Nothobranchius furzeri: one gene and its partner. The protein of the gene in region 1 interacts with the protein of each later gene in a pairwise test. Links are inferred from orthologs where the notes say so. Each region holds a gene or a part of one and is shown in the gene's direction. Other genes may lie near its edges.

Evidence for each region.
Region 2: the proteins of serine/arginine-rich splicing factor 11 (region 1) and hyi interact in binary tests that used the Homo sapiens proteins (3 or more experiments, as listed by UniProt). The two-hybrid records come from large-scale screens. The link is inferred for Nothobranchius furzeri from reciprocal best matches to the Homo sapiens genes SRSF11 and HYI.

What each region holds. Positions count from the first base shown.
Region 1 is NC_091748.1:59,485,294-59,497,728, forward strand, and holds the start of serine/arginine-rich splicing factor 11, read left to right. Parts: upstream 1-6,276; 5' UTR 6,277-6,465; coding exon 6,466-6,587; intron 6,588-10,749; coding exon 10,750-10,883; intron 10,884-12,435. Other genes in the region: vitellogenin-2, read right to left, coding at 1-159, 244-495, 577-728, 820-840, 1,136-1,175. UniProt on the Homo sapiens protein: May function in pre-mRNA splicing.
Region 2 is NC_091756.1:55,261,343-55,274,073, reverse strand, and holds hyi (putative hydroxypyruvate isomerase), read left to right. Parts: upstream 1-4,639; 5' UTR 4,640-4,705; coding exon 4,706-4,904; intron 4,905-4,973; coding exon 4,974-5,085; intron 5,086-5,163; coding exon 5,164-5,278; intron 5,279-5,864; coding exon 5,865-5,943; intron 5,944-7,314; coding exon 7,315-7,364; intron 7,365-7,430; coding exon 7,431-7,500; intron 7,501-9,377; coding exon 9,378-9,512; intron 9,513-9,590; coding exon 9,591-9,649; 3' UTR 9,650-9,956; downstream 9,957-12,731. Other genes in the region: KICSTOR complex protein SZT2, read right to left, coding at 12,115-12,258. UniProt on the Homo sapiens protein: Catalyzes the reversible isomerization between hydroxypyruvate and 2-hydroxy-3-oxopropanoate (also termed tartronate semialdehyde).

The sequences.
Region 1 (12,435 bases):
ACACTCTGAGCATCTGTCAGAAAACGCTGCCATGCCAATGTCCTTATACACTTTATCTGAACAGTGATCCAGGTCCCTGGTCTTGGTAATGTGGATACGTTCATCCTTTGAATCCTCACTGATAACATAATGGGTCTTGCATACACCCTGAACTCCAGGCTAGTTTATGACAAAATAACAAGTTTCCCAGTGAGTTTTAGGCTCTTTGTAGAGTAGACTTGGATGAAGAAAGATCGTTTGTACCTCTTGCAGCTCATACACATTCTGTGTCTTCTTGATGTTCATCTGAAGGATGTTAAGAACTCCTCTGTAGATGTTTACCACAGCTTCAGAGACACCGGCAGGCGCAAACACTTTACCAACCACACCATTGGCATACTCAAACTTGATAGGTGTCAAGAGTTGAGCAGATAGGGCTGAAGTGAGCTTTGTGGCAGGGCGGTAATCTTCCTTGGGCCAGATCCCACTGTATTCATAGAGTACAGGGTCTTCAAGCTGCAAATTAGCAGAATTTGAAATTAATTTCAAGCATGGATGAATTTAAATAATGAAAACACGTGAATCCTGACCGTTTACCTTCAGAATGTAGCTGTCTGGGGTTACTGCCCCAATTAAAACTTTGCTCTCGATCTTTACGCCAGCCCGCGCCAAGCCCTCCTCAGGCAGGCCCCCCAGAAGATGCCCTTCATATTTATACTCGTAGGTCTTTCCAGGAACAAACTCTGGGGCTGCAACAACATGAAACACATTAGAGTAATACAATAAAACCTTCTACAAACATGTGAACAGATTTCTTCATTTAATGTATGAATGACTTACCATAGCTCACCTGGGTACCAGCTGCCAAACAAAAATAAAAATGTTAATTAGATGTTGGGGAAACACAATAAATATGCAGGACAATGTACATTTGTTAAGGCTCCATAAAATAAGTTAAGGGCTTTTTTTTTCTTTGAGGCAAAACTGCACATGTTCTTCCCTCCTTCCGAATTTACTGGCTTGTTTTGGAAAAAGCTCTCATTGCATCCATCGTTTTTGAAGAAAGTTTGCTTTTTTGTTTTACATCCAAGCAGCTTTATCTCACAGAGCAAAAAGAAATGGAGGATGGTTGTTAAGAGCATGATAGCACACTCACCCACAAGGGCCACGGTAAGAGCTAGTACAAACACCTTCATGCCTGGTGGATGTGAACGTTTGCCATTTGACTTCTCCTTTTATAAGGCCAGTTGTTGCTGACGTTCAAAAGGTAACATGAACTAAAACATCGACTGGCATTGCTGCTGGTGTTACCATGCCCTGATCACAATGATAAGGCTGAGTAAATAAACCAAATAAAAGCATCACTAATAAAAACATCTAAACCTTTCTGAGATTTGAGGGAAATTTTAATGTTTTCAGGTAAAGTGAAGGAAGAACAAAAAATGTTTGTTGGCTTTAAACTCAAAACGCTGTTGTAAGTAAATCGTGTCCTAAAGGTCTGGTGTAGACGTGAAGCAAACCGTGTCATTATGGCCTGACCTGTTCTTCTGTCACAATTGTGTCATCTCAGATTAGGGACTGTTGACCCTCCAAAGGTTCAGCATGTTTGTTTAACTTTCATTACCTTAAACTGATCAAGTGTTCTAAACATAACTACAAAAAAGTAAAGTATGCATAGAGTCAACATAAGTTCATACACACATGACTAACTGCCTACATCCATTTGAAAAATGTATTACTTTACACCACAGGGAAAAACAAGTTAATAGGAAAATGTGCACAACTGTTGTTTAGAGGGAGTTTGTTCATAGCAGAAAGCATCATGTGGCACTAAAAAGTCAGTTTATGAGCACTTGTGTTGTTTTGCCTTAAACCAGGAGATCAAGAAGACGTTCATAAAGTTACACTGTCTTGCTTTATAGAAACAAACTTCAAACTGTTTATTAAAGTGACAATGTGTAGTTTTTACCATTAATCTCTGGAAATATCCATCAAAATGTTGTAAATGAATTAAAAGATGCCCAGTTGTTGAAAATATTGGCAGTTTCATCAAAATCTGTTCTAAAATACATGGACGCGGGTCAAAGTCTCTGGGGGGCACCATATTGGATGCCATGTTTCCTCTACAGGAGCCTGTGAGGACAAAACACATTTACTGATTTATAACAAATGATTACTAAACTTTCACCAATAATAAAAGTCATTGTTTTACACATTTACGTCTTATCTCATTCCCAGTGATGAAAGGGAGTCTGATGTTCTTGTTATTTTGCTGGAGGCTGCACTCCCAGGGATTTTTGACCCTAATGGCCATCTGTTGATAAGGTCTTATTTGAACACAAAAATAATGCTTGCTTGCAAAGATTTAGGACAGTATTGCCCCCTATCACCAGGGTAAACACACACTGTCACTTTAAAGACTGAATCCAACATTTATCATGGCCTTTTAGAAAAGTTTTTAAAAAGCGTAACAAGTTCTTGCAGGAATCCTTTTCTGTAAGTTTTCCTCTGGTCTGCACAGAGACAGAAATTGGCGACATTTGTATGACTATGTGTCGTACTCTTTCCTTCTAACCCTTTACCAGTCCAAACTGGTCCCAACATGTTAGGGGTGGCGGTTCTCGAGGGCCATTGTCCAGCGTGTTTTAGTAATTTCCCTGCTCCAACACATTTGATTCAGCTTTTCGTTCATGAGCTCACCTTGCTCTGCAGAAACATTTTGTTATCCTGCTGATTAAAATCAGGTGTGTTGGAGCAGGAAAAAACAAAGACATGCTAGATAGCAGCCCCAGAGGACCACTATGGCTCACGCCTGCATTATATGAACCGCTCCCTGAATCAGTTTCAGCACTAATGGACAAGAAAATAAATCAGCATTTTTCCACCTTAAGCAGCCAATCGTTCTTCAATAGGAAATGAAAGTTTTACTTGTTTTCTACATTCGTCACACTGATGTTAAATAAAAAAACAACACTCTAACCAGAACCCTCGTGTGTCTTTTCTTAAAGGGACTTTACGGAGTTTTGAATTTTTATGCTCGCGATTGCCCCCTCAGGCCAAAAGCGTAACGGCAGCTTCAATAGTAGGCTCGTGCACGAGGCGCGCATGCTGTACGTGCACACTCCTTAACGAAAATAACAGCAGAGACAGTCCCTTGTGTGTGTGTGTGTGTGTGTGTGTGTGTGTGTGTGTGTGTGTGTGTGTGTGTGTGTGTGTGTGTGTGTGTGTGTGTGTGTGTGTGTGTGTGTGTGTGTGTGTGTGGCCAGGAGGACAGAGGACAGGAGAACGCGCAGCTAATTAATTAAATAATTTGGTTCTGTACCTTTCTCTTCAGCACAGCCAACAACGGTTTATGATGGGTCAGTCCTCCTGCATGCTCAGATCATGCCCTTCCCTTGCTTGAAAAATTGCTTCAAAATGAAAGTTGAACCCACATCTTTTTTGTCTGTGAATTCAATGCCGTTTGGTGAGTCTCAAATAAAAATTTGGGCATCTTACTGTGAAAAAATATACCATTAATGTAAAAAAGAAACTCTAAATTAACTATGTTCACACCCAGAATCAAACCCAGGTCATCTGCATGGGAGTCAGGCATCTTACAAGGTGAGCTACACTCTAGTAACATTCACAGTATCTGTAACATTTATATCCTTAATGACACCTGAAACAACGTTCAAAGAACGGTTCGGAGCGAAAATGGCTATTTTGTTGCAAATTTGCAGGAAATATCTAGAAGAAAGTTCTACAGAAAGTAGCTAAGGGTCCTCAAAAATGTAGCTAGCTTTGTCACTAGGTGTTAGGAACAGCGACATAGACTAAAGCTATAGCAAATGCTACGGACTATGCCTGAACGTGAACGTGCATGAAGCAGCCTGCTCGACCCGAACAGCTCTCTTTTTCTGTGATTTTACAGAAAAACAGGCAATCACAGTACAAATGCCAGGGCTCATTCTACAGGACCAGAGCATTGCAGGAGAATGTATGAAGAAGAAATTTATTATTTCTATACATGTGTTGGCTGTCAAACTTCCATAATGCCCCTGTAATGCTGTCTTCTGGAATTCATCTGGTCTTGGTGGATCTTATCTATAAAAACAACTAATTATTTTTCTGTCTTAAAAGAGCTGTAAATACAGTCGGGGTGCGTCTCTTTGGTTTGTTATCCAGATTATCACTGACATTTTCAATATTTACACATTTGTTCACTTAAAAAATAATCTTGTGATTTTATATAAATATGTATTGAAAGACACATATTTAAAACTTTGTGAGTAGGCTATACAATCACATCATCTAAGACTTCACTGTTTAAGAATTATTACTAAACTGAAGTCAGCAAAGTAAACACTAATGAATTAATGTTAAGCTCTATTTTCGTTGTCTGTTCAACCCTCTAGAGGTTCGTTCTCTTCACTGAACTCAGTTGCTGCACCAGAGAGCTCAAAAGTCAGACTGAACCAGTAAACATGATGGAGAGACTTAATTAAACAAAGACCCACTTGTCACTGTTCTACATCTGAAAGGTCATGGGTCAAACTGACCTGTGATTAAGTGGCAGGTTATGTAATGTTCATTATGATTTGGTTGGTAAATTAGTCTAAATAATGGGAAAACCAGAACGTCTTCACTTATACAAACCAATTAATTACCAAAACTCAATAAATCTGTCAATCATCTGTGACTGATCAACAGTATTAAATCCATCAGCTAAAGCAGGAACTAGCAGCAGATTTTCTGGTGCTAGTTCTGGGCATCACTGGGCATCTTTGTAGTGCTGTAGCTAGCTCTAGTTACAGCACTACAAACATACCAGAATATACTCACCACAGGGCAAAACTACATCCAAGGTAGGGGATTTTAATTAATCAAATTAAGTTTTGCTAGGTAATATAAATAAGTATATTAAGTTACAACATTTCAACAGCATAGGTTTATATTTTATTAATCAAACATGTCTGATATAAAACTATTAGTTCTTAGTTCAAAGACCAGTAAATACCCAACTGCGTCTAATAAACACTCAAACATTAATACAGATATTGATTTCAATTTTTTTTCTGTTTTTATGTACCAACGGTCCATATTTTTTTCAATCAGGAAAAACATTTATGTATTTGGATTTCACAATGAGTGTAAACTATTAAAAAAAAATAAAAAACAACAACAGAATAGAAATGCAATTTTTTTCACTGGTTGTTCTTTGTCTAAATAAACTTTAATTAAAATATTTATAATCTGTCATTTGATTTGATACCACATACCTACCTACTATCTATAAGGGATTTACATGTTATATTTAGCTCAACTGGATGAAAACACAACTCAATCCTGTCAAGGGGAAGGATTCTGCTCTCTAGCGGACATAAACTGTTACTACAGGCAATGTTTATAAAGCTAAACAAGACACAACCAACTAGCTTTTCCTGTACGTTCCTTCAAAATAAAACGCACATAAAATACTTTGGGGTTTAAATGAGGGTGAACAACATAGTTGTTCTAAATAACGAGAATGTCAGAACGCATTCCCTTATAAAAACTACTTAACTACTGAAACTTAGTAAATCCATTTTAATTATTTGTGTTCAAAAAGGTTAATTCGACCAGCGCAGCAAGAGCTATCACCAGCTAGCTAAAGCGCTACAAACGTCTCAAATCATACGCTCTCTAGTGGCAAGAAGGTGAAGCGCAGGAATTTTAAACAATACAGTAAATTAAGTTAAAACTTTTAGCTTAAAAGTAAATAAATATAAGAAGTTACAAACTTTTAACAGCATGGGTTTATATTTTTCTAATTAAACATGTCAGATATAAAACTGCAGAAAAGTCATGTCACATTATGGCCAATTCTTACAGAAAATATCCATCCATCCATCAATTTTCGGCCGATTTACCGGGGTCGGTTCCGAGGTCGTGGGGACAGACGCGACCCCGAAAATATACAGAAAATATATTTTGCTAATATTACATTCAGTATACTGTCTGTATTTATGTTGGAGCTCTCTTACATAAATAGGTTATCTATTGACATGTTACAAAAGCCTTATTGTGAGTAAGAGTGACTTTGAAATGCGTTTCATTAACATTTATTTTTGTTGTTTTTTATTTTACTTATGTTTAAAATGTCCATATTTACGAAGTTAAATCTTTTTTTAAACCTTAGTGGGGTTGTACATTGTAATAACACGCTATAACCTACGAGTGTTCTACTTTTATAACCTAAACAGAACCGGACAAGATTTCATTAAAGAAAGTCTAAAATACCAGCGTAAAACACGACACCTGAAGGCAGCACAGCAGCCTCCGTAGTCACGACAGTTGCGGCCATTTGGCAGCTGCATTGTTACCCATCGCATTTTTCATCAACATCCTTTTATCTGGGGGAAGACATTTCTTGTATTCGCTTGATGAATTTGACTCTGTTAATATTTGATACTTTGATTCTAACTTCAAACTTAACTGCTTGCTTGTTTTTACTGCTGTGTAAAAATGAGTTCTAACACGCACGTCATTCAGGTGACAAATGTTTCTCCGAGCACAACGTCCGAACAAATGAGGACTCTCTTTGGATTCCTCGGAATCATAGAAGAGCTCAAACTGTTTCCACCTGAGTGAGTATCCTTGTGCTTTGCTCAGGTAAAGCTTTCCCAGCCCACAGACGGGGCTTCCGGAGGCCTAAAGCGACAAGCAGGCCTCGCTGTCTGCTAATGCTAATATTTACCCGCGCCTCCAGTCGCTCCTCGATCATAACACGCTTCGGGTAAATAAGCTTAATGCTAGAAAAACATTAGGGTTCCCAAACGGTTATTTAAATATCTCTTAACTGAAGTTTGAAACAAAACTTAACGTCTTGGAGAAAATTTGGCATAATATATTCTTGAATTTTATTTGGGTTATTTTTTAATAATAAAGAAAATACGAACGAGATATTGCAGTTTAGACATTTAATTTGATTCAAAAGGATTGTTTCCCACGTTGAGTCCACTACCTGCATGCTTACTGTGTTCCTGCTTTAGCACACGTGGTACAAATTGAGTTAATTAGCAAAAAACGTGCAGCAGAGGTAAATCATTCAATTAAATCGGGTGTTCTGAAGCAGGGGCGCAGCAAAGGTAGCGTTCACCCTAGGTTGGTGCCTGCAGGGACGAAATTTTGATTTCAGAAGTGGGGGGGACACAGCAGGCTTGTGCGGATTTGGGGTGGGGGGTGTTATGTAAAGACCCCTTGACACGTCACGTGCCCATCTCAATAATTTTTCCATCCTTATTGAAGTGCAGTTTTGGCTGTTGACAATGGATAGGCCATTGTATTTATTGTTTTGGGTCTTTTTTTATTGTTTTTGGTGCAACATTTTCTAACAGGGAGTGAGATTCCTTTTTTATTTAATTTTTGTTTGTTATTTTTATTCATTTAGAAGTTCTGGTTCTGGACATTTCAATGTTAAATGAAGGTTTCTTTGTTGCATTTTAAAGGGTGTACTTGCATTATTATGATATATTAACATTATATTAGTGGTTATTTTGGTCTAGATAATGTTGACAATATCGTTTATCATCAACAATTTGTTGGACAAAATATCATCCAGCAAAATGTGTTACTTTCCCAGGCCTAGTCAAAAGTATAAAAATTATTTATACATAAACGGTCCCTCCTGAGTAGGGCTGCAACAAACGATTATTTGGATAATCGATTAATCGGATGGGGTCTCGACACGATTAATCGGATTACATAGGGACATTTTTTAAAACTGCTAGGGAAACGTTATTTTTCTCCTTCCTTCCTTCACTTAAACACATTATTAGAAAACAGTTCAATAGCAGAAAACCAACATGCCATCACCTAAATTGTCTTATAAGGTGTATAGACAGAGACCTTAAGCTACACCTATCTGTGACCTAAAATGCTTGGTCCAAGTTAAACAGCTTAAAGAGCAAGTCAACCCCTACCAGAGTCTAACTCCACTCCCGCTTCATGTTTGAAAAATGCAACACATGCTGTTGCCTGGCAGACCGAGAGGGCGGAGCCGCTAACAAATACACACACACTCAGGCTCACGACAGCATTGTGACATCATAATGTACCAGTTTACATCATAGCATACTTCTTAGCCAATAGCGGTGGCAGATTTAAATTAAAATACAGTGCAGAGTTTTTACCTGACAACGGCACAACACTGCCAGTTTTAGGCAGAATATTTAAATTTTAACTAAGATGCACTGAAGTGCCAAATTATTGACGACACGTGTCTGCAGCACGATTAGACACTCGTTTATTTAGTTTATCAGCAAAAAAAAGTTTATTTGGGGGTGACTTGCTCTTTAAGGGCAATTCTCATCTGTTTTGTTTGATCTCATCTGTAGACATTTATTATAACTGGGGATGTCAAACAACTAATTTTTAAATGAAATTAAACATAGGCTGTGAATTAATCACTATTTCCAAAAATGACTGAAAAATACCAAATAAAACAAAAGTAAATGAATGCCATCCTCCTTGTGATGATGCCCTGGGCAACTGCCTTAAAGTCACATCAAGAAATGCTGCTGATCATTCCAATGATCCCAAATAGACTCACATTAGGACACATGAAAGCAACTGAACCCAAAAATATATTAACCAGTATATAACTACACGCACACAACACGCCTGCAGCAACAGTTAGGACTCCTCCCTCCCTTTTAAAAGCATTTTCGCTTGTGAGGACACTGTGGTTGTAAAACCACATGTTAGTAGTCTGGCCCCGGTGTGATCAACCAGTTTCTGCGGGAATGTGACGGCGGAACCGGTTCGCAGCGGCGCGAGTCCTCCCCCCCCCCCCCGCCTATCTAATAGCGTCGCGCTTACAATTTTATAGACTTTTTTTACGAGCTTAGGGCATGTCTAGCCTGTAATAATCCGGGGCTTGGGTGAATCACTTTTGAAAAGTTTTTTACTTACCCGGACACCGAGCTCTCTCCTTCCTCGCTGATGATTCTGACATGCTTGCGTTTAAGACGCTGCATCATCACCGTAGTATCCCCGTGCCATGCTAAGTCTGACCTACAAACGTTGCATGTCTTCGCCTGATTTAACTGAAAATGCTCCCAAACTTTAGAAGTTTTTGCTTTTTTGGGGTCTCGCTGCTTCTGCCATGTTCCTCTTACAAACACCTGCCGGCTCTCCACCGGTCTGCGCGCAACGGCGGGCAGGAGGGGAGGGGGCTTTTGGAAGAGTTGCGCAACACAATGAATCGATGACGCAATTCGTTGCCAACGCTTTTAGTAATCGATTTTCATCGAATTTATCGATTCGTTGTTGCAGCCCTACTCCTGAGATCTGGCCGTTTGTTCATTTGCTGTGTTAGAGGACATGCTGAACTAATGTTTTACACATGATCATCACCCTAACATTTGAGAGTATAAAAACATATTAAATATGTTTTTCCCCTTAAAAGTGTTTAAACAGTTGTTGCATTTCAACACACAAAAAAAAAAATGGAAAAAATAAGATAAATCTAATGAAAAGTGTACATCTTTGACATTAAGCTTAAAAAAAATCTGTTGACGATGATACTGTTCATTTTTCAGAGCTTTTTAATGTGAAAATATGCATTGCAATAGATAAGTTTACAATAAAGTTAAATGATAAAAGTTTTGAAGTTACACTTCTACTACTACTACTACTACTACTAGTAATAATAATTATGATGATAATAGTAATAATAAAAATAATAATAATTATAATAATACGAACAAATTGTGTCTGAGGAGTCAGTTATGTGGAGGAGATGAGTTTGTAAAAGTTAGTTTTGAGTATGTTTGTGAAGGAGGAGGTGAGTCTGAGCTTAATGCAGGTCTGTCACATGTTCCAACTTACGTTTTGACTTTGAAAGAAGTCTCTTATATCCACTTTTCGTTTTCTTGACATGCTGCCTCCTGGCTGTGCCTAACTACCAAAGACTCACAAATTAACACGTATTCAAATGTTATGTAATGGAAGCTGAGCTGAGCTCTGATATTACACAGCGTCTAGTTAACGATGTGACTCAGTACCGGTGTTCCCTAGCGGCTCCAAACTAGCAAAACAACGTGAGCACGTTCTGACTGTTTCCAACTTGAGTGACAGCAGCAACAGCCAATAATACGTTAGCAAGTATCAGCAGAGCCAATAGATTAGCTTTTGGGCGGGTCTAATAGTAAACCGGTTTCCGTTTCGGTCCTAGTGCTCAACCAAATCCATTTAATGGAGCGTAACATTGTTTTTGGATGGAAAAAAGTGCAGGGGACCAAAACTGCCTTTTGAAAAAGTGGGGGGGGACATGTCCCACCCGTCCCCCCCCCAAAATTACGTCCCAGGGTGCCTGAATCCTAAACCAGATAAATCACATCAATCAAGCAGAACATTAGTAGTTGTGAATAATTTGCTGATGCACTTGTGTTGATAATTTTGTTTATCCTTTCTGTTTCATTAATTATGTCTGGTTATTCCACTGGTGGGAAGTTTTCTCCATTTTAGCTAGGAATGAAAATGTTTCCAATAATAAAACCTGAATCCATTACTTCAGAAATCATGAGCACTTTGGAAAACACACAATTTTCATAAATATTTTCTCTTAATTTTGTTCGAACTCGACAGTCGGGTTTAATAAAAGCAACATTACCATCACGTGATCTTAAACTCTTAGGACGGTGATAAGAAAAAGAATCCCTGATGAGTTATCTGAGCAGCATGAAGAAGGCATGTTGGTTTTCCCTGTTTGTCTTCTTTGCACAACATATCTGTGTTTTCTTCCAGTGACTCTCCCTTGCCTGTGACTTCACGTGTCTGTTTTGTAAAGTTCCATGAGCCCGAGTCAGTGGGAGTGTCCCAGCACTTGACCAACACCGTCTTCGTGGACAGAGCTTTGATCGTGGTTCCTTTTGCTGAAGGTGGGTGTCTGTTTTTAGTCCTTCTGCCATCCACATGGCAATCACATTTGTAGGTGCAATGGATAGAATTGTAAGCATTAGCTGATTCCTTTTTTTATTTTTGTTTTATTTTATTTTTTTGCTAAGCTTATGTTGTGCTTGGCATCTCTAGGTATGTAAAAGGGAAATGTACATTTGTGTCTGTGTTTCACAATCTAGCTGTAAACTTCTCTCTCTGTTATTTGTGTTGTGGTTTTCGTAGTGGACAAGTCATTTGCAGAGAGATCCTTCCTTGCTGGCTGAAAGTGGTCCTCTGCTGCAAACAGGAGATTAGAAAAAATAACAGCCCCATACTCGCAAGCTCCCTTCTCTTTTTTTTGTTCTGCAGTAAAATAGTTTACTCTCTCTTCAAGACATCTATATATATATATATATATATATATATATATATATATATATATATGTGTGTATATGTATATTTTTTTTTTTTACGAAAAAGTGCTGCACAGCTCAATTCTTTGGGCAGGCAAGAGGGTGCTGGGCATTTCTTCACATGCGTCTAAATAATTGGTTATTATTTTAGTCCAAAAAGAGCAGGTGGACTGGTTAAAGATTTACAATAAATATAAACTGAAATGTTAATGTTTTTGTTTGTTCTAATGTTTGCAACAGTTTCGGCATCCAGCATTCAAACAGCATTTCTGCAAGAAATGCAATTTATCTAGTTTTTCTTTGGTAAACTAGCAGATGACTCTTCTTGTTTCAGCCAAGCTGCTTTTTCAGGTTTATTATTACTGAAAACAAGACATTTTGATCATATTCATAAATATTTTATATTATTTTTGCAGATAAGGTTATTTTAGAATGAAAAATAAAGTGAAATGTCTAAAATGGAGGCTTAATTTAAAGTTCTTTTTTGAAAACCAGTTTTTGCAATGTATCAGTTGGTTGAATTAGGCTCAAACATTTTCCAGTTGATGCCTGCGCTAACAGCACTCAGCAGCAAGTTTAAACTTACTGTAGAGTCACCATGCCCTTCTAAAATGCTTGTAATAAATAAATGCATTTATGCTTAGAACATTAGTAATGCTGCTCCTAAAACACTCGTCTCCTAAAAATAAAAGCACTACAGTTAAAAAGTTGCAGGGGTTTTCAGGCGCTGGTGGGTGAATACCTACTTTTGGGTGCAGTTTAGAACCATGATGGGAGCGGCACCCCCACCCTCTTAAAGGTGCCGCCGTGTGGGAGCGTGCACAGGGAGGCAGGTCCACACATCAGCTGGTGAAAACACGAGAGTCGTTTAAGAAACATTCTTAATGAAAAAGCATCAAGACCCTGGATGCTTGGAGTTAAATCACATTTTGAACTGAAATGATTGTCGCACCCCTAAAGTCGTAAACTATGTGCATGCTAGACTTTAAAAACTCAGAGGTGTGTATCGTGATCTACTGTTCTGATGAGGTGACGGTGGGACTGTTGGTAAGATTTTGTGCGGTTATTGATCAAGATGAAAACACACTGTTTGGCATTGAAATGCTGACTTTCCAGATTTACCATGAACACACAAGTCTTC
Region 2 (12,731 bases), on another chromosome or scaffold:
CAAGTGAGGAAGGAGTGAGAGAAATATCATTCTAAGTGAGGAATCAAATATAACACCCAGATTTCCAACACAAGACTAGGGTTTTCAGCAAAAGGAAGAGAGATCCTAAATGATGGTGCAACAATCATGATCTTGGTCCTCCTGGTGTTTAAAGAAAAAGAAAGAAAACAATCGTTTATATAGCGCCTCTCAAGATAAAACTCACAAGGCGCTCTACAAAAACAAAACAAAAATGTAAGTATAAAAAGATTTTTAAAATGATTAAAAATATGTTTAAAAAGGAAAAAAATGTAAGGAAAGGGAGAGAGCAAATGAAAAGGAAAGAGGGAAATCAATGGATCCTGGGAAAGGCGAAATAAGAACAGAATAAGGAGAGGGTGGTGATGAATGTCACATCAAAGCCAGCCTGAACAGGTGAGTTTTCAGCTGCTTTTTAAAGGAGACCACTGAGTCCACTGATCTCAGGCTCAGGGGGAGAGAGTTCCAGAGTCTGGGGGCCACAGCAGCAAATGATCTGTCACCTTTGACCTTTAGCCTGGTGCTGCACAACCAGTAGGCTTTGATCACTGGACCTCAGGGACCTGCTGGGGGTGTAGGGACTAAGAAGATCACCAATGTAAGACGGTGCTTGTCCGTGTAAGGCCCTATAGACCAGACCCAAATTTTTTAAATGAACCCTGAAGTTGACTGGCAGCCAGTGAAGCTGGAGGAGAAGCGTGGTGATGTGGGTGTGTTTGGAGGACTTGGTCAGAAGCTGAGCACAGGCATTCTGAACCACCTGTAGACGGTCCAGGGAGGTTCTGCTCAGACACGTGAAAAGAGAGTTACAGTAGTCTAAGCGTGAGGAGATGAAGGTGTGGAGAACTGTCTCAAGTTCAGAGCGGGACAGAATGGGACTCAGCAATGTTCCTGAGATGGAAGAAGGAAGAGCAAACAAGAGAACTGACATGAGAATCCAGGGTGAGAGCTGGGTCAAAGGTCACACCAAGATTCCTGACAGAGGGTTTGATGTGAGAAGTAAGCTGACCAAGAGAGTCTCTGACTTTGGGAACCAGCTTGTCTGGGGCACAGATGAGGATCTTAGTCTTATCTTCATTCAGCTGAAGAAAGTTCCCATCCAGGTTTTGATAGAGTCTAAGCAGGTGTGTAACAGCTGCAGCTTAGACATCTCATGGGACTTAAAGGAGATGTACAGTTGGATGTCATCTGTATAAAGATGGTAGGAGATTCCTTTAAAGGACCTCAGAATGTGCTGAAGAGGGAGCAGATAGAGGAGGAAGAGCAGAGGCACCAGCATAGAACCTTGTGGGACACCATGGGTAAGGGAGGTGGTGGAGGACCTAAACTTGGAGACTGCCACAGAAAAGGAGCACTCAGAGAGATAAGAGGAGAACCACTCCAGAGCAGTTCCTGATAGGCCTACCCAGTCTCTCAGCCTCTCCAGTAGCAGGTGATGGTCAACAGTGTCAAAGGCTGCAGTCAGGTCCAGCAGGACCAGAACAAAACAGTCCCCTGCATCACTGTGAGTCAGAACATCATTGGAGACCCTAAGAAGAGCTGTTTCAGTGGAAACAAGGCAAGATAGTTGCTGGTGATTCAGTCATTGATCTGGGATAAACACTGGACTACATCTTCTAAAACATGTGTGATAGGGAGTGTAGAGCTGTAGAAAGAAAACTATGGACCCAAGACTTTGCAACACCACAGATTAGAGAGGCAATTTTAGAGGAAAATCTGTTCTCATTACCAGAAAATGTCCCATCACAAGACCGGAAGAGAGGCAGTTCAAAGCAGAACTAGCAATAACTGCTAAAATGTTAAACCTATTAGTTAGAATCGCTTGGTAAGAGTTAAAGGCAGCACAGTTCCCCGTGTCAGACACCATTTAGTCGAAAACATGTCCATGTTTATGCAGACTCCTGCTGCAGCATAAAGTTTCTGGTTTTGTTTATGACGTGTAATTAGTGTGAAAACTATCCCCTTCTGGGAACTGGTGGTATTTTCATCCCAGGAAAAAGAAGCTTCTGCTGGTCTTTTGCCTCAGAAAACACATGATGTAACCTTAGCATTGTCTCACCCTGCATTCTTGTTAAGTTCCTCCCACCCTCTTTAATTAAATGGTCAATTAACACATCTGGCTGCATGATGTTGAAGTTGGTAGCCTCACCACATGAAGGTTGTAGGTTCAAATCCCAGCTTCAGCTTTTCTGCGTGGATTTTGTACATTTTCCCAATACATGTGTGGGTTTCATTTTAATAGTGACTCTAATTAAGTCAGTGGAGTCCATTTCCGGTCCTCCAGGGCCACCGTCCAGAGTGTTGGTTGTTTCTCTGCTCCAACGCAACTGAATCAATGGCTGAATCACCTGTTCATCAGTTCAAGTTTAGCAGAAGCCTGTTAATCACCTGCTCATTAAAATATCTAGATATATTTCTGTGTTGAGCAGAAATATCTCTGGAATATACAGGATGGTGTTCATGGAGGGCCAACATTGGATAGTCCTGCTGTAAAATTGTCATTAGTGAAAACGTGTTGATGGCTGGTTGTGTCATTTGTCTTTGTGGCCCTGTGATCAGCTGGAGACCTGCACTGTGGGTCTTTCAGGTTTCTTGTTGTGGGTGGTCTCACGTTTGGATGCTATTCCTTTTAATTAATTTTTACAGAATTGTTTCGTCATCATCATCTCCACAGCTCAGGTAGAACAGAGTTGAGTCATTCACAGTGTCTGTTGTGTGATTCATGATAACAATGAGAAACGGTCATGAACATTTTTTATGGAGACCAGGTTTTGCTCTGGAAGCTGTGAAGAGACTTGTCTCCAGCAGATGCTGCTGGGATTAATTCAGCCGAGGAAAGTTCAAACAAAACTTGGACCAATCCCAATTCTACACTTGCTCCCTTCAATTGCGCCATCTCGGCCAGGAATGCGAGTGCATAGGGTGTCCTGATTCTCAAGTGCGGAAGTTGATCACGCCCCTTTTGCACTCTTGATCCACACTGTATCGATGTGTGCTTGGGTGAAGGGTATTACCCACAATCCATTGCTGCAGGGGAAAAGCAAAGTGGCTTTTCAGAAAATATTTATTTTTAAATGAAACTAGTTCATTTTAGGATAATTCACTGATGCTCTGTATGTTTTAGACAAAGCAGCAATGAATGTAAACTTATTTCAAATATTTGGTTGTTTGTTTGAAAGTTGTTAAGTGTTTTTAAAGTATCACAGCGACCAGAATCCCAGCATGTGTTGTGGTCGATGACGCAATGCTCCCTGTCCCAATTCGGCAATTATTTGCACACTTGTGTACCTCGCACGTGTAGCCTTACTGCACACGTCCACAAGTGTGCAGTAAGCACAGAAGACTGCAGGGCAAGTATTGAGATTTGGCCATACTCATCGGCCCCACCTTTAAAATCCAACATGGCTGGCTTTTGCAAAGCCTGGTGTAAACTGCAGTTAATGGTTTTATATAAACGTTCAATCATTCAAAGGTCCATCTGTTCTTATTCAGTGAGCTGTGACAAGCCAGAATGTGAAGCCGGATTATTTGTGTCTGTTTTTCTCTGTAGACAAATACTTTGGCCTTTTTTAAGGAAAAAAACATCCCATTCCATCCCAAAGCCTATGGAGTATTTGTGTAATACAGAGGGAACGCTTGAGAGGCTCCAGAACTCCTGCCGGTTAAACAAATCCTACAACAAGCCACCAGATGGTCTTCTCTAGGATACAGCTCCTGAGGGGATGGATGCTGGAAAAACAGCCAATATTAGACATAGTCAAGCATTTCTCAAGGTGCTTCTGTGGCCAGATGGCACAGAAAATATTTCTGACCCACAGGACAAGAGAGATTACGGCACAGGATCTTTCTTAGCAAACTTACCACAGAATCACTGTAGCCTGTCTAATGCACAGTTGGGTTATTCTGTAACAAATTAAATCGAATTCACTCATTTCATGGGAACATTTGCATGTCTACATTGCTTCATAAGAAAGAAAAAGACACAAAAAAAACCATATTATGAAATGGTCTACTTTAGGTTATGGTCCATCAGAACCAGTACCTCAGAACAGCAGCTGGACTATCAAACACTCACATTCCTTCAAAATTTTACTTTTCTTGTCATCACGACTCACCCTGATAAGCATTTGATCTGGTTCATTTGCCCATCCTCACATTGTTCTCGTTTTGATTCTGTTCTCAACCAGACTACCTTAAAGGTGAATTCCTTTCTGATCTGTTTCCAAACTGAGATACAAGGGCAGCTTACATCCTTCACCGACCACATGGACTATAGGTCTAGGACACGAGCTCCAGGTGAGGCCAGGATACCTGAGCCAGGATCAGGGTCTACTGCTACAACCTACAGTCCAGTAGGTGGTGCAGTAGGTCTGTGAGTGTGAGATGACGGCCCACAGACGAAGAGTACTGCATTGTGGGTCTGTTCCTTTTCAGTTGAACGGGTTATGATCCGTTTAGGGCGGAGTTTACTAACAGCAAGAAACATAAATAAACCAAACTTGTATGTTGGAGGTATAAGTTCAGCAACAGGTAGGCCACTTTGTGGGCGGAGCATGAGGCGGGCAGCCGCGTGAAACAGTACAAACTCCTCCCACTCGGCGCGCCGATTGGCAAGCCGGTTTATAAATCGAGCGCATCCAGATCTGCGTGAACGCAGGTTCGTTGGTCTCTGAACTTCAAGCCCAACATGGCTCCACTGAAGTTTAGTGCGAATATCTCCTGGCTGTTCTCTGAGCTTCCAGACTTCAGTCAGAGGATGTCGGCGGCCGCTGCGGCCGGGTTTCAGGCTGTGGAGGCCGCCTGGCTCTACGACGCGGACCTGACGGAGCTCCAGAGAGCCAGAGAGGCTGCAGGAGTGGAGGTGGTCCTGATCAACACCCCGCCTGGTACTGGAGCTCCACACTAGCAGCATAGCACTGTAGTTATGTGGTTAACTATCTGTGTGTGTGTTACAGGAGACGTTAAAGCAGGTGATCTTGGTCTCGCAGCAGTTCCAGGGAGGGAGGGGGACTTTAGACAGGGTCTGGATCAGACTTTAAAGTATGCAAAAGGTTTGAACTGCAAGATGTAAGTTATCAGCCCAAGCAAGTAAACACACACACACACACCTGCAGGAGGAACAGGCTTTTCTCTCTCACCGGTCAGGATCCACCTGATGGCAGGTCGGGTTCCTGTGGACTCCCACAGACACCTGGTTGCTAAGGAGATGGAGGCTGTCTTTGTGCAGAACCTAAAGTATGCTGCTGACATCCTCTCTAAGGCAGGTACCAGTATACCTTCTGTTCTGTTCAACATGTCATCAGCTCTCAGGAGACTGGTTCACTTTGTAGAAGACATGGACATAATTGATCACCAGGAACTGACACAGGGAAGTCCAGTAATGATCTCAACTTTAGGCTGTTCAGTTCAGCCAAGACGTGTCTTCTGCTTGAGAAAGTTAAATTAGTGTAAAATGTATTATATACAAATTTTAAAAATATAATTGTAAATACAATATAGTGTAAATTACTTGAGTAATTGTAGTTCAACATTCAAAGTCCTACTATCACAATGTTTACATCCATCCATCCATCATCGATCCCTGCTTATCCACGCAGGGTCGCTGGGCACAATGTTTACATTTTAGCTAAATTCAAACATAAGAATATCAGTAGAATACTTCATCCACATACTTTTCTTCATCAGCGGGGGCTTCGTCCATCTGCAGATCAGTGGTGGTACAATAAAGTTGTAGAAACTGTGCCTGGGCTTTGGGAGCATGAGTGAAATATCACAGCATAGATCAGTAAACTTCTCAGTGGAGATAAACGGATATCAGTAATAATCACAAATGATGGTCGTTACAGGAGGGAATCACAGGACTGATAGAACCAATCAACACCAGGATCACAGACCCTAGGTACTTTCTGGACTCTCCTCACCAGGGTAACACACACACACACACACACACATATGATTTTTGTACCCTTTTAAAAGGAAACCAAGGTTTTCATTTTTCAAACTGTTCTTTTAAAAACCAAGAACAGGATTCTTAAAGGGACTTTACGGAGTTTTGAATTTTTATGCTCGCGATTGCCCCCTCTGGCCAAAAGCATAACGGCAGCTTCGATAGGAGGCTCGTGCACGAGGCGCGCATGCTGTACGTGCACACTCTTTAACGAAAATAACAGCTGAGACGAAGCTCTGTGAAGCTGACGGGGGTCAGCTTCACAGAGCTCTGAGAGCTGACAGTCGTGTGTGTGTGTGTGTGTGTGTGTGTGTGTGTGTGTGTGTGTGCGTGCGCGCGCGTGCGTGCGTGCGTGTGTGTGTGTGTGTGTGTGTGTGGCCCGGAGGACAGAGGACAGGAGAACGTGCAGCTAATTAATTAAATAATTTGGTTCTGTACCTTTCTCTTCAGCACAGCCGACAAAGGTTTATGATGGGTCAGTCCTCCTGCATGCTCAGATCATTCCCTTCCCTTGCTTGAAAAATTGTTCCAAAATGAAAGTTGAACTCACATCTTTTATATCTGTGAATTCAATGCCTTTCGGCGAGTCTCAAATAAAAATTTGGGCATCTTACTGTAAAAAAATATACCATTAATGTAAAAACGAAACACTGAAACAACCATGTTCACATCCAGAATCGAACCCAGGGCTTCAGCATGAAAGCTCGAAATTTTACTAGGGGAGCTAAATCGCCAGTGGCGCCTTCTGTATCTGTAACATTTATATCCTTGATCACAGCTGAAACGACGTTCAACGAGCGGTTCGGAGGGCTATGCCTGAGCGTGAACACGCATGAAGCAGCCTGCTCGACCCGAGCAGCTCTCTTTTTCTGTGATTTTACAGAAAAACAGGCAATCACAGTAAAAATGCCAGGGCTCATTCTACAGGACCAGGGCATTGCAGGAGAATGTATGAAGCAGACATTTATTATTTCTATACATGTTTTGGCTGTCAAACTTCCATAATGCCCCTTTAAGTTTAGATTAATTATGGACTTTCTTTCTAAAGGTCAGATTTCCACCATTCTCTAACACACTGAGCTTCAACCATTTTGTTTTAGCTACAACCAAAAACTTCTGGTTTAGAAATAGAACTAAAATAATAAAAAAAAAGAGATAAAATACAATCAACTGAAATAAACACCAGTGTTGGATGTTGGTATGAAGTCTGTTTACCATTTCCACATTTACACTCATGGGCCTAAATCAGACTGTACATAGATTCTGGGAAAGCGACGAGTCTTGTTGTAAATGTTTTAAATGAGATATTTGACGGCCTTCATTTCTGTGTTCTGCTGGTTCTTCTGCAGCGGCAGCAATACTGGAGAGTGTTGGAAAACCCAACATCAAGCTACAAATGGTGCGTATGTTGGAAATGTGTTTCAGTTTGAGAGAAAACGTTTGTTAAACATCCCACCTCTTTCAGGATGTCTTTCACTGGCAAATAATGGATGGAAACCTCACACAGAACATGCACAAGTATTTCCCCCTGATAGGTGAGTCCATTTGAGGGGCTGTGAACGAGCCGTTTCTCCCCTCCCTGAAAACACTGATCAGGTGATCTAGGTGGGCCGTCCTCTCACCTGAAGCAAAGCTTAAAAAGCAACTGCAAGCACTTTCAAACAGACTTGAATCTGCACCGAAGGGCCTTGAGTGTCTGTTAGTGCTTGTTTTTGTCTTCTTAAACTTTTGCTTTGCACTGTCTTCCATTTGGAAAGAGAAGGAAACTCATCTGTGTGTAATCCTGTTGTCTTGTAGCTCCAGTTTGGGCCAGCTGAAAACAATAAGTGCAATCAGGGGCTGTGATTGAGCTGTTTCTCCCCTCATCAGGTGCTCTAGGTCTCAACCATTGCAATCAGCTGCTGCATGAACACCTGTTTCCAACTAGTCTCTCTGACATATAAAAATGGATGAAATCCCACCATCTCCAACTCAACCTCTCTAAAACTGAACTACTTGTCACCCCTTTAAAGATCATGTCTGTTGCTCGTTCATGCCGCTTTGCACTGTATAACATAGGAAAGATCAGACCATACCTAACACAACATGCCGCCCAGCTCCTGGTGCAATCTACTGTCATCTCCTGCCTCGATTACTGCAATGCCCTTCTAACTGGTCTTCCAGGCTGTACTGTGAGACCTCTTCAAATGGTCCAGAAAGCAGCGGCGCGTCTGGTCTTTAATCAGCCAAAAAGAGCACACGTCACCCCTCTGTTCATTGAGCTCCACTGGCTACCGCTAGCAGCACGCATCAAATTCAAATTTTTAACACTAGCATACAAAGTCCGAGACGGTACGGCTCCCATCTACCTGAATCCTTTTGCAAAGGCTTACGTCTCGTCCCAGCTGCTGCAGTCATCACAGGATCGTCGGCTAGCAGTGCCTACACCACGCTCAGGACGATCCAGACTCTTCTCATGCATCGTTCCACAAATGTGGAATGACCTTCCAAGCACTACCAGAACAGGGGCTTCCTTTTCAATTTTCAAGAAACTCCTGAAGACCCTGCTCTTCAGAGAGCATCTTCTTACCTAGCACCCTCTCTGCACCCGTACCTCCCCTCTCTACTGTCCATTCCTTGTTCCCTCCTCTCCATGACTGATGTCAAGTTGTTGTTGTTATTGTTGTTGTTAGCCTCAAGGGCAACATGCCGATTATCACTTGTAAGTCGCTTTGGACAAAAGCGTCTGCTAAATGCATAAACAAAAATGACAGATGAGATCTCATGTCTGGTCTTATCTTCAGAGGCATCGACGAAAGCCGAGTCATCTCCTCTTTAGTATTCCTGCTGATGGGTGGCAGAGGATCTAAAACTGGCTTTGAATTTTAGATCTTGGTTTTGACCAATATATCTTATGCTCTGGTCTATAACATAGCCCAGATGAAGGTTGGTGGAAAAGTAGTTCTTGTCATCCAGGTGGCAGAAAAATCCTGCTTTGTCAATTATAAAAAAACACATTGGTTTCATTGTAGACAAATTTTACATTTTATATGCATTTTCTTTTAAATATGCACCTAATAGCTTATATCTGTTCTCAGTGTTCCTCGCATACAAATGTTTAGGGTTTCTGGCATCCTCAGGCCTCTGATCTGCCTTCATAGATTCAAACATGGTTTCAAAATCTGCCCTGTAAACCAGTGTGTTAGCTGCTCCGGCTGGAGAAAGAACCAGGTGGTTATTGGGCAGAACATTTAGATGGCTCCAACTAAGTTACGCTGGTTCTGACTGGAGTTCCACAATGAGTCATACCTCATTTATTGGTGTTAAACACAAAGTCCACTGGCTTGTATGTTCATGTAGGACAACATTTGTCCAGCTGAGCTAAGCATGCACAAATAAGACAAGGCTTCTTCTGAATGGTTCTGGTTCTCAGGTCATGTTCAGGTCGCCCAGGTTCCTGGCCGGAACGAACCCGACTCTGACGGAGAGCTGAACTACAGCTACCTGTTTCGTACGCTGGAACACCTCGGCTACCGGGGTTACATCGGCTGTGAATACAAACCCTTTGGTCAGTCTTCCCTCACCTCTAATAGTTGATCCACTAATTTAAAACATGTCGGCTTATTGTCTCATCTGTCTACTGCAGAGTCCACCACCAAGGGTCTGGGTTGGATCCAGCAATACTGGACACACGGAGCACAATGAGCTCAGACAGAAGACACCTATCTGGAGTTATTTCTGTTTTAACTGCAATGACCCTATAAAGATGATCAGCCACAACATTAGAACCACTCGGCCCAGCTCAGCATTCCTTTGGAGACAACCAAGTCCTCCTGGTGGGGCAGGGGTTCATTGCTGTATGTTCTGAAGGACCATCTGAAAACATCATCAAAACTCAGACCAAGTCTTGTTGAAGATATTAAACTGAATAATTTAATCTTTAGTTCTATAATCACGTGTAGAACTGATGCCTTAATATGCACAAATATTAAACATTTAAATGTTAACGAGACTTCGATGTAATGTACATGATTACATTTGTTTACTGAAGAGGTCTGCATGACTTATTAGGGGTGGAACAAAATGAAGGTTGATAGAGGCTTTAAAAATGACCTGTTTCACTTCGACAGCAAAGCCACCCCTGAGCAGCTTCTTGTTCCTTTAACCACAGCTGCTAATAACATTAAGTAGAAGGTTCCTGAGACCAAAGCCCACCTAGACCTCATGTACCCAAGAGGAACTGTTCCCCCAGTTGATCAGGTGGTAGAAAATGAGCCAAGGCTGGAGTTCACCTAAATGCTCGAGCTCCTGGGAGAACACCTTTTGAACCGACGAGACAAAACTGGAGCTTTTGTTAAATCACCTAAGCTGTAAGAACACTGGACCTAATGTGGAGACTATGTTCTGGACCTGCTATGCTGCATCTGGACCAGGATGTCTTAAATCTGTTTAAGGTCCAATAAAGTCACAGGTCATGACTCTTCCAACAAGATGAGGCTAAACCTACAGCTAAAAACACCCAAAAGTGGATCAGAACCAAACATTAAACTATTCTAATGTGTATTAACCCTGAACTAGAACCTGCTGAACATCTGTGGAAGGAGCGAAAACACCTGCAGAAGGAAGTTTTCAAATCTGAAACGGCTGGAGAGGCTTTCTCATGAGGATCAAAATACCTGTGCTCAAGCGAGACGTCAAGAGTTACAGAAATCACTTGGATGTCTCGAGGTTCAGAAACTAAATATTAACAGTTCCATCATTTTTGTCTAGACCAGTTTAGTTTTTGTATCAATGTGATGCTGGTGGTGGTTGGAGGGACCGGAGGCATTCGTTCAGCAGCCTCATCTCGGTGGGCCCCAGGGCTGCTGTGGCTACTGTGTAGTTCATCACCACCAGTGTGTGAATGTGTGTATGACTGCTTGTGTTGTAAAGTGTCTTAGGGGGCTTGTAGAACCCTTGAAGGCTTTATATCAACTACAGCCCCTTTTTTTAACCATTATATGAACAATGAAGTCTTATTTGTAATAAATATGAGATAATTGGCAATCTCGGTCTAGTTCTCCACATGTCAGGTTCAAACCGTGTGTGTGTGTTTGTGTGTGTGTGTGAGAGGGAGAGAGAGAGAGATAAAGTTCAGTCTATGACTGAAGTCCCAAGTTAAATCCATTGTTTATTCTATTTACTCCATATTTTACATCCATTATAAAGTGTTCTATATTTACATCATGTACATGAAATACGGTTCACTTTACAGAAACATTCTCACTAGTAACACATTTCCTTTAGCATCAAGACAATCTCTTGTTATTATTGAGGGACCACTCCACTGTTCCTATCAGAGCCGTAGGCTCTTGTTTCATCTGGGGGGTTGCCATGTGGGATTCTGGTGGTGAACTGTATCACAAGTATTAAAAACACACAGGTCAGACCTGTCGTTAATCTATATCAATAAAACTGCTCTCCTCAGTCCCTTCCTTCAAGTGCCACTATCCAGCAGGTTGTAGCATGATTCAGTGCTTCAATCACCTGTTCAGCAGGTCAACAAGCTCTGCAGAAGCCTGTTAAACGCCTGCTGATTAAAATCAGGTGTTGGAACTGGAAAAAACTAAAACATGCTGGACAGCAGCACTCGAGGACCAGGACTGCCTACCCCTGCTCTACAGTTTGATCATTAAAAACTTCCAGTTATTTCATCAGTTTGTTGCATTTCTTTTAGGTTTGTCTTTCTGTAAAGCACTTTGTGTTACACACTGATGTTTGCATTTGGCAGATACTTTCATCCTGAGCGACTTCAAAACGACGTAGGAAAGGTGCTCCAGAAATAAGGTTTGATTAACTCATCGATTGATTTCTCACATTGAAACACTTAGCCAATGTTTATCATGCAAACCACCAAAGCTAATTCTAGTATTTTTTTTTTGGTAATAAGCAACCAATCAGATGTCAGCAAAGGACGCGCAGGACTGTGTCAGGGTTTCTGACAGCTGTTTGTAGGATTAAAGAAACAAAAGAACAGAAAAACCTATAAAGGCACTTCATGGTACCGAGTGAAGGCAGCGGAGCTCTGCTGGACACCACACTGAGCCCATCTAAACAAGGGCCAAGCTCTGTTAAGAGCTCCTAACACTGATTTGGTACGCTGAGACAGTTCAGTCCAGTGCCGGTGGACCCTATACTAGTCCAGTCCAGAGGTTGTAGCATGCCATGTTGATGACGGACTCCAGATGGTGGTACATGGACACCAGCTGAGGAGGAGGACTGCCACCGGCTTGTGGTTGTGACGGCAGCGGCTCTCGAAACACAACCTTCAGGCTCTGGAAAAAGACCTTCGCTTAGAGCTTTGCCAGGTTAAATACAGAAAGTGAAGCCATTCTGAGCAGGGGTGTCTAAAATGTGCAGCCTGCAACTTCAATCCAAGAACGCTAGAATTTTGTTTTAAACAGACAGAAACTTATAGGGTGTTTTCTCATTTGTTCATTTGCAGCTTTTTTCTGTGGTTCAGTTTTGTTCATACACAGAAAGCTGCAAACAAACCCAAATGTGTCAAAAACCTTCAGGCTGCTGATTTGTCAGACTACCTGGGGGCGGGGCTAGTTTGAACAAGACCACAACACAGTCTAATGCCCTTATCCTGATCTGTTTACGGATCATTTGAACTACTTCATTCAGTCATCATATTTTGTACCGTTTAGTCCTAAGCAGGATCACAGGAGCTGGCGTTTAACTCCAGCTGTGTTTGGCATTAACTTACACCTGATAGTCTGAGGTTGGGTTGTGTCCACACTAC